3 linked regions of the Oryctolagus cuniculus genome follow. The protein of the gene in region 3 interacts with the protein of the main gene of each other region in a pairwise test. Links are inferred from orthologs where the notes say so. Each region holds a gene or a part of one and is shown on either strand. Other genes may lie near its edges.

Region 1 (4,383 bases), on a different chromosome or scaffold from region 3:
ACTTTGGCATAAGTTTCTGTGGTCTGTAGGGAAACAAGCCTGATTACAGGGAGTCAAAGACCGAATGGCAAATCAGAAAGTGAAGGCAGACACATGATGACTCTTCAGACTGACAGTCAAAGGAAAGTGCCAGCTCCCACTGAAAGATGAGAGGAAAGTTTTGCTTGTTGGTTTGGGTTGTATGAAAAAGTCATGCGTATGTCCATAAGCAGAGGGAACAGGACTGGCTGAGGAGTGATGTTAAGTCCGCTAAGGTGGCAGGCATGAGCTGAGACACAAAGACAGCTTTAGGTTGATGCTTCCACTGAATTAAGAGGTAAAAATGTTTACAAACAGGTTTGTGCCATGTGGGGGAGACCGATTCATGCGAGATGCCTCAGTATTTTCTGTGTGGGAAAGGGAAAGGGCAGAATGGCCAGCTCTAGTGTCTCCGGGAAAATCTGGAAGCACAGCTGAGGGGAGCAGCAGAGGGCCCACATTCCTACGGAAGGACCACTAGGTGGGGCTGAAGACTCAGCCAGGAAGGCAACCGGACATTTGGGTGGCATCCCTCCCCCTGCATGGGTGACCTCCTCCCACGGGGCTCACAACAGCCTGCCTACAGGTACAGAAAAGGCCATCAGGGCCTAGCAAAATCTTGAAACTAGCAGTGGAGTAGATGTGGTAAAAAGACAGGAAGATGTGGAGGGCCAAGGTGACTGGATGGGAGAACACAAGAGGACTGACAACCTGGAGAAAATATACCCACTTCCCACAGAGCTTACTTTAACCTACTTTGGTGGTTACACAATAACAATCTTTTAACAAAGACATTATTGCAAGTATAGGGACTTACTTGTTTAAGATTACATTCATTGGGTTTTTAAAAAATTCTTTTAAGTAATATGTAATAAAACATAAAATGAAAAAAAATCACCTGTCAACCAACCACCTACAAGAAACCATTATAATGTTACACTTTTCATGTTTCTCCTCTATGTGTGCATTTATAAAAATTTGGGATGATGGTGTTTAAACTTTTTTTGTTTACCATAAATTTACTTGTAAAAGCAGTTTCTGGGGCCAGCGCTGTGGCAAAGCCACCACCTGCAGTGCCAGCATCCCATATGGACGCCAGTTGGAGACCCAGCTGCCCACTTCCAATCCAACTCTCTGCTATGGCCTGAGAAAGCAGTAGAAGATGGCCTAAGTGCTTGGGGCCCTGCACCCACATGGAAGACCTGGAAGAAGCTCCTGGCTCCGGGCTTCGGATCGGCTCAGCTCCAGCCGTTGCAGCCATCTGGGGAATGAACCAGCGGATGGAAGACCTCTCTCTCTCTCTGTCTGCCTCTCTTTCTCTGTCTGTGTAACTCTTTCTAAGTAAATAAATAAATCTTTTTTTTTTAAAGCAGTCTCTAAGTCTGTATAAAAAGCCATGAAAATGTTATCGTTTTTAAAGACATAAATCATACAGTAAGAACCCTTTTATATAGTTTATAAAATACATAGCACACTGTAAATCCTTAAAGCTTATTGAGCAAAAAAAAACTTTTTAAGCAGGGAGTGGGAAGAAAACTCATTAAGCAGTTTAAAATGTCACAATCTATACCTTCACAATTTTATACACAATATTAGCTATGTTTATATTAATAAAGATGCATATATATTATACTTGCCTGTTCTTCTAACTGTATTTTATTTTTTGTCATTTGTTCTATGAGTTTATCAAGTTTCTTCAAAGACTGAAGGTCATTTCCAACTTCCTTTTCTATGAATGCAGACACGTAAGCCGAAAGCTCACTATTATCTATATTTTCACTGACATGTTCACTTTCAACAAGAGCTACATTATTTATGTCACCTAAAATAAAAGAATAACAATTACTCAACACCATTAAGGACTGGGGAATTAAAGGAATTATAAAAACATACAAAAGTTAATAATGGAAGAACATACTACATACATATAGGTATCTGAAAAAGTTCATGGAAAAATGGAATGAAAAGTTTCCTGTGGTGCAACAAAACCTTTGAGGGTAGGTGTGTAGCCTGGGAGTTTAGCAGCTGCGTCCTACGCTGCAATACCTGGGTTCGATTCCCGGCTCTGGCCCTTCTGGAGAGCACCCGTGTTATACAATTGTAGACAAACATACACATATAAGACCAGTTAATACTTGGTACTACATAAGCATAGTGCGCAGAAACAGCTCATCTCAAAGCTAACAGGCTAAGATCGCCTTTCCCTGCCGCCTACCCTGGAAGGCTGAGTTTGGGAGAGACGCCGGGACACAAAGCGCTACGGCGGATGCAGCCTGCTTGCTCTCCTCCACGATGCTCTCCGTTTCTGCGCCACTTTCAGGGCAGCACTGGAAGAACAAGGTGACAAAAACACTGACGTTAAAGGAGCAGATGGAACTTAACACAGGGCTCCCAAAGGAACCGACAGGGATCTGCCCAAAGTCCCAGGGCGGTCGGATACAGGTTTCGAAAAAGGGCTACCTCCCTGGTGCCACCCCTCCCAGGAGTCTGTGCCACCCTCGCCCGGCCACCGGAGCCACCTCCCTGGAGAGATCAGTCATCTCACTGGGACCACGACCCCTGGGAATGCCGCGAGGGACTCGAACCTGCGCCGCGGGAACCACCCTCACAAGCCTCCAGCGCCACCTCACCAAGACAACCGGGAGGTTTGTGTCACCTCCCCGAGTCGCCAGAGACGACTCACCGGAGCTCCCGGCGCATCGCCGATCGGGGGCATCCCGCCTCCGCGCGAGTCCTCGGCTCCATTCGCAGCCAGCGTGGCTGGTGGAGTCCCGCTCCGGTCAGCGACAGAAACCAGCGCGCCTCAGCGGCTAAGGGACTTGGTGACACCGCGACTTCCTCTCGCCTCTCTCGGGTTCCTTCCTCTTGGCCAGAGCGGTCCTTCCCGCGAGCAGCCTTCTGAGCGCCGTCTCCCCCTGCAGGCCGGAGGTTGGAACTGCGGCCCAGGAAGAGAGCCCCCGCCCCCAAGGCAGCCCAGAGAAGGCTGGGCCCGTACCCCCTCTCTCTAAGCATTGGAGCTCTTCATTGTGGATCTTGAAGGTACTCCTTCTTTCACGGCATAAATTCAAAGTGAATCATTTACATTTATGCTTCAGACGACATCGAGATGTTCTGAAAATGAGTGCGCTTGGTGAGCGGCAGTGACTAGGTAGGTGTATTTTATCGCCTATTTAATTGTGGGATTGCCGATGAATGTAACCATCTCTAGATCTTTACCGCTGGTCAGTTCCCTAAGGATCACTCTCCAATGTCCTGGCTGGATGGTCAGCGTTCTGGTTGCTGAATGAAGAAGAGGACTCAGCGCCCACCAAGCCCCGTGCTCAGTCCAGACTCCCTAAATAAGCCCTATCTTCAGCTAAGGAGGAGGAACAAGAGTTAGCGGGAAGTAAGGCATGGGCCCCCGTATTTGACAATCTCAGAAACAAACTGCCAAGTAAAGTGGTACCATAAAGACCGAAATAGACAAGAAAAGGAGGGGAGGGAGAATAAGAATAAACAGAAAGCCTAGGAAAACAGAAGCCATTCAGTGAGAATAAAACTAAATATACTCAAACCAGGAGGAATCTTCCAAAAACAAAAAAAAAACTCGTGGAAAATTAATGGTATTTTTTAATGTGTGCATAGATTTCAAAACTTTTTTCCATCAAAATGCAACTTTTTTTTTTTTTTTTTTTAAGATTTAGTTATTGGCCGGCGCCGTGGCTCACTAGGCTAATCCTCCGCCTCGCAGCGCCGGCACACCGGGTTCTAGTCCCGGTCGGGGTGCCGGATTCTGTCCCAGTTGCCCCTCTTCCAGGCCAGCTCTCTGCTGTGGCCAGGGAGTGCAGTGGAGGATGGCCCAAGTGCTTGGGCTCTGCACCCCATGGGAGACCAGGATAAGTACCTGGCTCCTGCCTTTGGATCAGCGTGGTGCGCCGGCCGCAGCACGCCGGCCGCGGCAGCCATTGGAGGGTGAAGCAACGGCAAAGGAAGACCTTTCTCTCTGTCTCTCTCTCTCTGTCCACTCTGCCTGTCAAAAAAAAAAAAAAAAAAAAAAAGATTTAGCTATTTGAAAGGCAGAGTAGCAGAATCTTCCATCTGCTAGGTTACTCCCCTTTTGACTACCACAGCCTTGGGAGAATCAGGCCAAAGCCAGGAGGCAGGAACTCCATTTTGCTTTCCCACATAGGTGGCAGGGGCTCAAGGACTTCGGCTGTCTTCCACTGCTTTTCCAGGGCATATTAGCAAGGAGCTGGATGGGAAGCCAGCAGCCAGGACTACAACCTGATATGGGGATGCCAGTACTGCTGGTGGAGGCTTCACCCACTGTGCCACAATACCAGTCCCAAAATAAACCTAGCTTTTAATTCAAGTTTTCCACAACTG
Region 2 (3,648 bases), on a different chromosome or scaffold from region 3:
CCAATGAGTTGAGGAGAAAATTGAGGCACAATGAAGACTGATCATTTCTGCTTTGAATAGCATTGCATAGCTACTAAATGATAAAACTTGACTTTGAATTTAGGTTATATGACACCAGAATTTATGTTCTTTTCACTGTAGTGAACCACATCTGCAAAGAGAACTTAGACTTTATAATTTCAATGAATTGTATTTAGAGATATATCATCTGAATGAAAGCATATTCACTTTGGTACTTTCTTATTGAGTTTTTCTTTGTCTTTTTCATTTAGGTTTGAACTTGTAAATGAGCTTTTTCCATTCTTCTTCATTGAATGAACAATTTATGTTTCATTTCATTTTTTGCCCTTTATTTTTGCTCTGTTTTCTCATCAGAGAGAATATTTTTATAAGAAAGGACTACATACAGAATATAGTAATGAGAAAGATAAATCTATTTACATAAAGCTTTGTTTATGTACTACTACCATCTGAATTCCCTAATTTTTGATAATTCCATTTTAAAATTAATATGCTTTCATGTAAATGCACATATATATATACATTATTGAATAAATTCAGCCAAAACATAATATTACCTATTCTTAGCATACCTTTAACCATACACAGAATTTACCCATCATGGACTGTTTCTTCATGGTTTATCCATATGACTCGTGGGCAACCCAAGGTAGTAGTCATTTGCTTTTTCCCCCCTAGAAGCTCAGAAGAAGCAATTGGAAGAGAGTATAGAGCTGATCCAAGACGAATGTGTGTCAGAGAATGCAGATCACTCTACAGAGGAGCCTGCTGAAGGAGGGCCAGAAGCGGATGGAGAAGAGATGACTGATGGGATAGAGGAGGACTTCGATGAAGATGGGGGTCATGAGCTGGTAGGAACTAAATATTTGGTGTCCACACCCATTGAGTAAGAGCACTAGTGTGTCAGCAATACATTCATTCTAACATGATTAACTCATTTGGGGAATATTACTTTCTTATTTGCACTATTAAAGGGAACATTAATTTAGTGCTTTGCACATAGTAAGTGCTCAATAATCTTTTTGTTAACAAAATATCAGGATGTAAGGGAAAGAACCATAGAAATAAGCTATATGAGAGTAGGAATAACTAATGTCCCAAATGAAAGATTCTCTTGTGCAAATCCTTCATTGTAGAAGGAATTTTGCATTTGTGAAAGTACAAGATAATTGTATATAAATATAATATACTAGTACTAAATGACCATTTACTAGAAGATACATACCTCTCCTTCTTATTTACTAGTTTTAGTCACTGATGGTAATTATCATTACTGACTGCACAGCCAAAAGTCCTTTCTCCATGCTTTTACTAAAATAGCATGACTCCTTGGAGTATGACTAATTCACCATTTTCAGTGCCTGTTCTATTGATAATCAGTATTTATTATTTGAAAATTTAGCTAAGACCTGATTATTTGTGTTTTATTTTCTCAATTATATAATCATTATACTGCCCATTTCCAGATGTTCTTTTCCACATAACCACACTAGGAACTTGGTAAATACATAGTGAAGAAGATGTTATCTCTCTTATTTTATCAACCATGAAAATAGATACACTGTATCAAAAAAAAACTTACTAAAACAAAGTACAAGGGCATGTAGTGTGTCTGTGTGTGTGTGAGAAAGAGAGACCAACTCTTAAATATTTATAGACTGAACTTGTTAAACTTGGCTCATTCCAGGCAATATCAGATTACAATATTTAAATACTTATTGTTACTTAAGTAATTTTGACATGGTAGTAGCTATTATTTCGGTATGGTAACCACTTTATTGTTAGCTTTAAAGATAGCTTATTTTTACAGAGTTTTGTATTGACATTTAATATTACAGCTCTGTTTAAATTTCCTGGCACTTTTATTTAAACTTTTCAAACATGAGCTTTTAACAGCCACCTCTATTTTTATAAAATTCTGCTTCTGTTTGAAGGACTTAAGTATCTGTTTTTAGAAATACATTGATTTCAGGAATCGACTGATCAAGGTCTACAATAAAGGACAAATATGTTTCGCAGCTTTTCCTTAGGCAGGACTTTTAATTCAACAGCGTGATGTGCTGAATCCATTATAATCAGACTTCTGTTTCACTTTTTCATTGTGTCTACTCATGTGGAGGTTTCTGTAGGGCTCCATATAGTCATTTCCCATGGGTACCTCTTTGTACTTACTTTAAATTACTCTTCAACAGGACTTTGCATAGCTAGCCACTCCCTGCTTTTGAGAAATTCTCTTATCTTATCAATTGATTACATCAGCTTCCTATGCTAGAAATTTCCCTTCCGTACTCCTAATTTAAATATTGGACTAGTTCAGAGCTTCCTCTTTCTCCACATTTTCTGAAGCTGTCTTCATCAAATAGCAGAATTTTAAACACTATCTACAGTCCAAGAGTTGCTAAACAGACATTTTATTCCTAATCTTTCCCTTGATCTCTAGACTCAAATATTCAGCTGCCTATAACCAAAGATGTCCAATAAACAACTGAAACTTCCCATTTCTAGAAACATTCTTGAGCTTTTTCTAGCTCTTTTATTCTTTCTAAGTCTTGTGCATTCTGATAAACAACATTTCTATCAGTAATAACCCACAAAAAATAAGATTATGGGTTATATTTTACCTCCATTCCTACTTCTGTTCATTCTACTTACAAATAATAGTCCAGTACTCACTGCATCTCCTCTACAAGTGGACAAATTGAAGCCACCATCTTTCTCTTTTCAAACTTTTGACAGTGTCTAAACTGTTGTTTCAGTTTCAGCTCTTTGTTAATTAGAACTGTTGCTGCCTAGAGGTGCTCAGATATTCTCCTTCAACCTTGGTGTTATAATTGGAGACTTTAGGAGATAAAGATTTTTAGACAGATTTATATCTTTATTTAGAAAGTCAGAGTTACAGAGAAGGAAGGAGAAACTGAGAAAGAGAGATAGGGAATCTTCCACCCCTGGGTTCACTTCCCAGATGGCCCCAAGGGCCAACACCAGGCCAGGCTGAAGCCAGGAGCCAGGAGCTTCATCCAAGTCTCCCATGCAGGTGGTAGGGCTCAAACATTGGGCTATCTTCTACTGCTTTTACCAGGACATTAACAGGTAGCAGTATCAGAAGTGGAGCAGCCAGGACTTGAACTGGCACCCATCTGTGAAGCCAGTGTCACAGGTGGCAGTGTTACTCGCTATGCCACAACACCAGCCCCAGGAAACTAAAGAATTAAATATTGTCTCTAGTATGTCATTTGGTTTCTATAACTTGGAAAATAATGAATGAGAAGGAGTTTAATACTTATATCTTGCAATTTAAATGGAAACTAGCCATCAGACAAGAGAGAATTCCCCAGTCTAGTTTTTACTGTTTTCTCCTTTCCAGGCCACATGAATCAAATTATATTAGGTTCCCAAAAAGAAAAGTCAAAGCAAACATTTATTTTTTGTCATAATGAATTATTATAGATTGGAACAAGAATACAGTATAATTAAGATTTTAGCATGTGCAATAGGAGTAAAGAAATTAGAGCTGCTATCCACATACTCAGGTGACTGTTCAGGGCTAATGTGGAAATATATTCAAAAAGAATGAACAAGGAATAAAAATTGGGTCTGAAGCAAGGGGAAAACATCAAAATGAGCTCA
Region 3 (4,379 bases):
CAAGTTGATGCTGAAGGAGGCTTTTCAGCTGTCTCTCCCCTTCTGTTTCCAGCTCCTCCAAGACACGCTCATCACTCTTCACACAGCTGTTTATCCTGGAGTAGATATAAGAATATATCCAGAAAGCAGAAGAGACAGAATCTCCAAATATTTTCCTTATCTATATTATCAACCATTAGTAACTCTATTTGCTCAAGGACACTTCTCTAGTAAGCATTTGCTAAATACCTATTTACACAAAGAACTAGGTACTTACGGAGCTCAAAGATAATACAAGACAGTCCCTATCTTCAAGAAGCCTGCAACTTCTTCAGACAAAAGAAACTTATGTGTATGTATGTGTTGTGCACAAAGGTCTGTAGGAGGGAGGGGGAAGATGGGAAGGGAAGAAAGAAAAAAAGTGAGAGGGAAAAGAGAGAGAGAATGAATAATGATACAGAGACACATATACCAAATTAGTAGCAGTTCACAGAAGAAAGAATTCAGAGCTAGAGTGGTAAAGGAAAATTTCAGAAAGGTATTCTCAAATTGGCATTGGAAGGACAGGTTGTGATGAAGTAAAGGAGAATTGGAAGTCTGAGTATGAAGAGACAGAAATGTGCACTGATGTGTAATGAGATGTTCCATTTAGCTGGCATTCACATTTGGGAGTACTGGAAGATGATCATAGAGGGTAAGTCTCAGATTGTGAAGGGCCAGATGAGGGACCCCTATATTTAATGTTATAGATATTATAAAGTAGTGATTAAGTGACGCAGTGCAAGTGATTGTTTAGGAAGAGAGATGTGGCTATTATGTGCCATATGAATTAGAAGAGAAAAAATCAGAACAACTCTTTACCAAACTACCAAAAGACAAAGTGATGAAGGTCTAGTCTGAAATGTTAATAGTGGAAATAGAAAGGAAGGGTTAGATGAGAGAGTTCTTTTGAAGGCAAGGGCAAGGAAGTCAAAGCTAACCCCCACATTTTAAGCTGTGAAATTCACACAATGATGGTGCTTGAAGCAAAGAAGCAGCTCCAGATGGAATAAGTGATTTGCGAAAGGGAAAGCCAGTATTGCCTTAGCTTTGTGAAATCAACCATACACCACAACTGAAACACTAGCATGAAGTATCTGGAATGCTATAAAAACATTGAGTCTGAGATGGCAGTATGAATGATTGGCTAGAAGGAAAATGAGAGATGATACAACTATTGAATAGAGTCTGAGGCTGAATAACAAAATTTCAAGTAAGCTGTGTTGATGAGGTTTGGAGCTATGAAAAAAGGAGATCTCCAAAGGACACAGTATAGAAAGAAATATGAAGAGGGTCATAACATTTTTTTGCTTAGAATCACTGTGTAGAAATCTGAGTAATGGATAGCATGAGCTAACTGACCCTAAATAACTGAAAATTGTTATTAGAGCATAAAGATATTTCTTAATGTTTATACCATTTAAGCATGCTTAATATTGAGTACTTTCCTTATAAAATAGCCCTTTCCTAGTGGGGTTATGATAAGGTCTAGAAAAAGTAACCCCTATGACTATTAGCATACTGTAGAACGATTTGGACTTATTTTGGGAAACTCAAAAATCTCTTTAGGTAGAGAGTTAGCTAAATTAATCAAGACACATGCATCTCAAAAAGAAATGCTGTTAAAAAAACAAGCAGGTCACAGAAAACCTCATGCAGTATTTGTAAAAAGTTGAAATGGGGAAAGTAGGAATATGTTTAAGGAAAAATTTATATGTGCTAAAATGAATTTTTAAAAAACATACAAAAAAGGAAGGGAATTATTAATTCAAAATTCCAGACAGTGATCACCTCCCAGGGAAGGGAAGCGAGGGAAGTAAACAGGAGACAAGGGAATTCTAAGGGACTGGTAATGTTCTACTCCTTAAATTTGTAGAGTGTGAGCCTTCGTTCGTTTTTAAATTGTATATATGCATTATTTTGCATGTGTGAGCTATCTCACCATGAAAAATTTCAAGGTTATTTTCAGACAAGGAAAATCAGAAACAGTTTTTTAAAAGATGCAAGGAACTGATAGTACAGGACAGCATATTAGAAACTATTTTAAATGCACCGCACTATCCCAGTGATGACTACTTGCACAAAACTATTTTAATGAGACCCTCTTTAAAGGCTTTCTGTCCTGCCAAAAATCGTGAGGCTCACACTCTCAACAATGACCCTCCAAGTTCTCACTGCCATTTACTGCGGGACCACGGCGGGGAGTGGGGGAAGGCTGCTCACAGCCACGCTTTCCTTCTATAAATACATCCTACCCGCTTTGTGCTTTCCTTCTAAATTTATAGAAACAATGTAGCACTTCTTTACTCTAAGATTTGAAAGCACTCCGTGGGGTCGCTACCCCCGCAAGTCTTCCTTAATATATACAGGCATCCTAAGCAAATGGGGCACATCCTGAGCCCCTGTACACCCTGAGCTCCGGTCTGAGGGTGAGGTAAGTTGGGGCGACAACGGGAGGAGCTGGCCTGGGTATTTCAGACACCGGGAACGTGCCAGCCAAGACCCATTTGCCTGAGTGGGTGCATCCGAAACACGAAGAAGCCGCAGTACCCAGCAAGTTCCCGGGGCCTAGGGCGGGAGGGGGCACATCAGGCCGAACCCGCCCCTGCACTGGCCCTTCCTGAACTTCGCCCCGCAGGCCTGTCCTTCCGCCCCCCCACCCCCCACCACCACCACCACCTCCGCGTTGGACTTCCCGCTTACAAGAAACCGCATCCTGAGAACCTGACACCTTCCAAACAGAAAGCGGTAACAGCCATTTTCAAAGTTAAAGGTAGAACAGAGGTCCCCATGCCGCCTGCTCCTCAGACAAGCCCTTACCTCTTCATGCTTCCACAGGCCCCTATCGCTAACTTGGGTGAATGGGCGAATAGGCCGCGGACCTCAAGTCCCAGAACTCTTAGCGGCAGACTCTAAGGGGGAATTGTGGTGGAGCGTGGAACTCTGGGAAATGTAGTACCAGAGAAACAGAAAGGGAAAACAGGTGTTGAGTGACTGCTACATGGTAACTGGTCCGAATATTTCTCATATGAGTTAAAGAAAATACTCAAAATATCCAGCTTCAAAACCAGAAGTAACCTTGGTCTTCTTGATTCTCTTATCCAATATTACTAAATCCTAGCTTTACTCTAACTTCCCTCAAATTGATCGCTGTCGACCCTGTTCTTCCCAGTAAAGCCACTAGTCCTCCTAGATGAGATAAAAGTCCACCCATGACATTTGCACTAACAGTTCTACATCTGTAAGACTTCTGAGTTCAGTCAGTTCAAAATCCGAAATCTGTATATATTCAAACTCATGAATGTTTTATTTGTAATTATAGTGAATCAAGAGAGAGGTATAGTATAGTGGTTAAAAGCATTGGCTCTTAGTTCCCAGTAATGGAAGTATAAATGTCTTTATAAGAAGAAAAAAGTTCAATCTCACTTAAAAGTGAGATGGAAATTTCATAGTAAACAGACTAATACTTCTGAAAACTACCCAGGTCATCCAAAGCAAGAAAACCCAAGATTTTGTCACAGCCATGAGGAACCAAAGGAGACATGATTACTAAATGTAATGTGATATCCTGGGTAGGATCTTGAAACAGAAAAAGGGCATTATGTAAAAACTAAGAAATTGTGATAAATAATGCACTTTAGTTAATAAGAGTTATTAGCTGTGATGAATGCACCAGTTATGTAAGATGTTAATACTAAGGTAAACTGGATGGAAGTATATAGTACTACGCATTATGCAAATTTTCTGTAGCTCTCAAAAACAAAGATAAAGTTTGAATTTTTTAAAGATTTATTTATTTGCTAGGCAGAGCTACACACACACACACACACACACAGAGAGAAAGAGAGAGAGAAGTAGAGAGAACAGATCTTCCATCCACTGGTTCATTCTCCAAATGGCTGCAACTACAGGGGCTGGGTCAGGCCAAAGCCAGCAGCCAGGAGCTGCATCTGGGTCTCTTGTGTGGATGCATGGGCACAAAGACTTGGGCTATCCTTTACTGCTGTCCCAGGCACATTAGCAGGGAGCTAGATCAGAGGTGGAACAGCCGGGACTCAAACTGGCACCAGTATGGGTCTGCCAGCATCGCAGGCAGAGCTTATCCTGCTACACCACAGCACCAGCCTCAAATAAAGTTTAAATTTTAAAAGTACACTAAAATAAGACTTTTCACTTACCAGACTGTGAAAGATACAAAAGTTAGATAGTCTGCTTATTTGTGGAGATTGTGGAGAACAGGCACTCTCAATACATTGCTGGTTGGAACATAACCTGGTAAAACCACTGTGGAGGACAATTTTAGTTCACTACTGAAATCATATATGAATGTTCCCTTTAAAGTAGCAATTCAGTATCCATGA

The links.
Region 1: the proteins of RBM41 (region 3) and RINT1 interact in binary tests that used the Homo sapiens proteins (3 or more experiments, as listed by UniProt). The two-hybrid records come from large-scale screens. The link is inferred for Oryctolagus cuniculus from reciprocal best matches to the Homo sapiens genes RBM41 and RINT1.
Region 2: the proteins of RBM41 (region 3) and RALYL interact in binary tests that used the Homo sapiens proteins (3 or more experiments, as listed by UniProt). The two-hybrid records come from large-scale screens. The link is inferred for Oryctolagus cuniculus from reciprocal best matches to the Homo sapiens genes RBM41 and RALYL.

What each region holds. Positions count from the first base shown.
Region 1 is NC_091434.1:138,816,969-138,821,351, forward strand, and holds the start of RINT1 (RAD50-interacting protein 1), read right to left. Parts: upstream 2,895-4,383; 5' UTR 2,735-2,894; coding exon 2,702-2,734; intron 2,346-2,701; coding exon 2,234-2,345; intron 1,841-2,233; coding exon 1,656-1,840; intron 1-1,655. UniProt on the Homo sapiens protein: Involved in regulation of membrane traffic between the Golgi and the endoplasmic reticulum (ER); the function is proposed to depend on its association in the NRZ complex which is believed to play a role in SNARE assembly at the ER.
Region 2 is NC_091437.1:110,338,525-110,342,172, forward strand, and holds part of RALYL (RNA-binding Raly-like protein), read left to right. Parts: intron 1-699; coding exon 700-872; intron 873-3,648.
Region 3 is NC_091453.1:86,164,333-86,168,711, reverse strand, and holds the start of RBM41 (RNA-binding protein 41), read right to left. Parts: upstream 2,839-4,379; 5' UTR 2,811-2,838; coding exon 2,722-2,810; intron 96-2,721; coding exon 1-95. UniProt on the Homo sapiens protein: May bind RNA.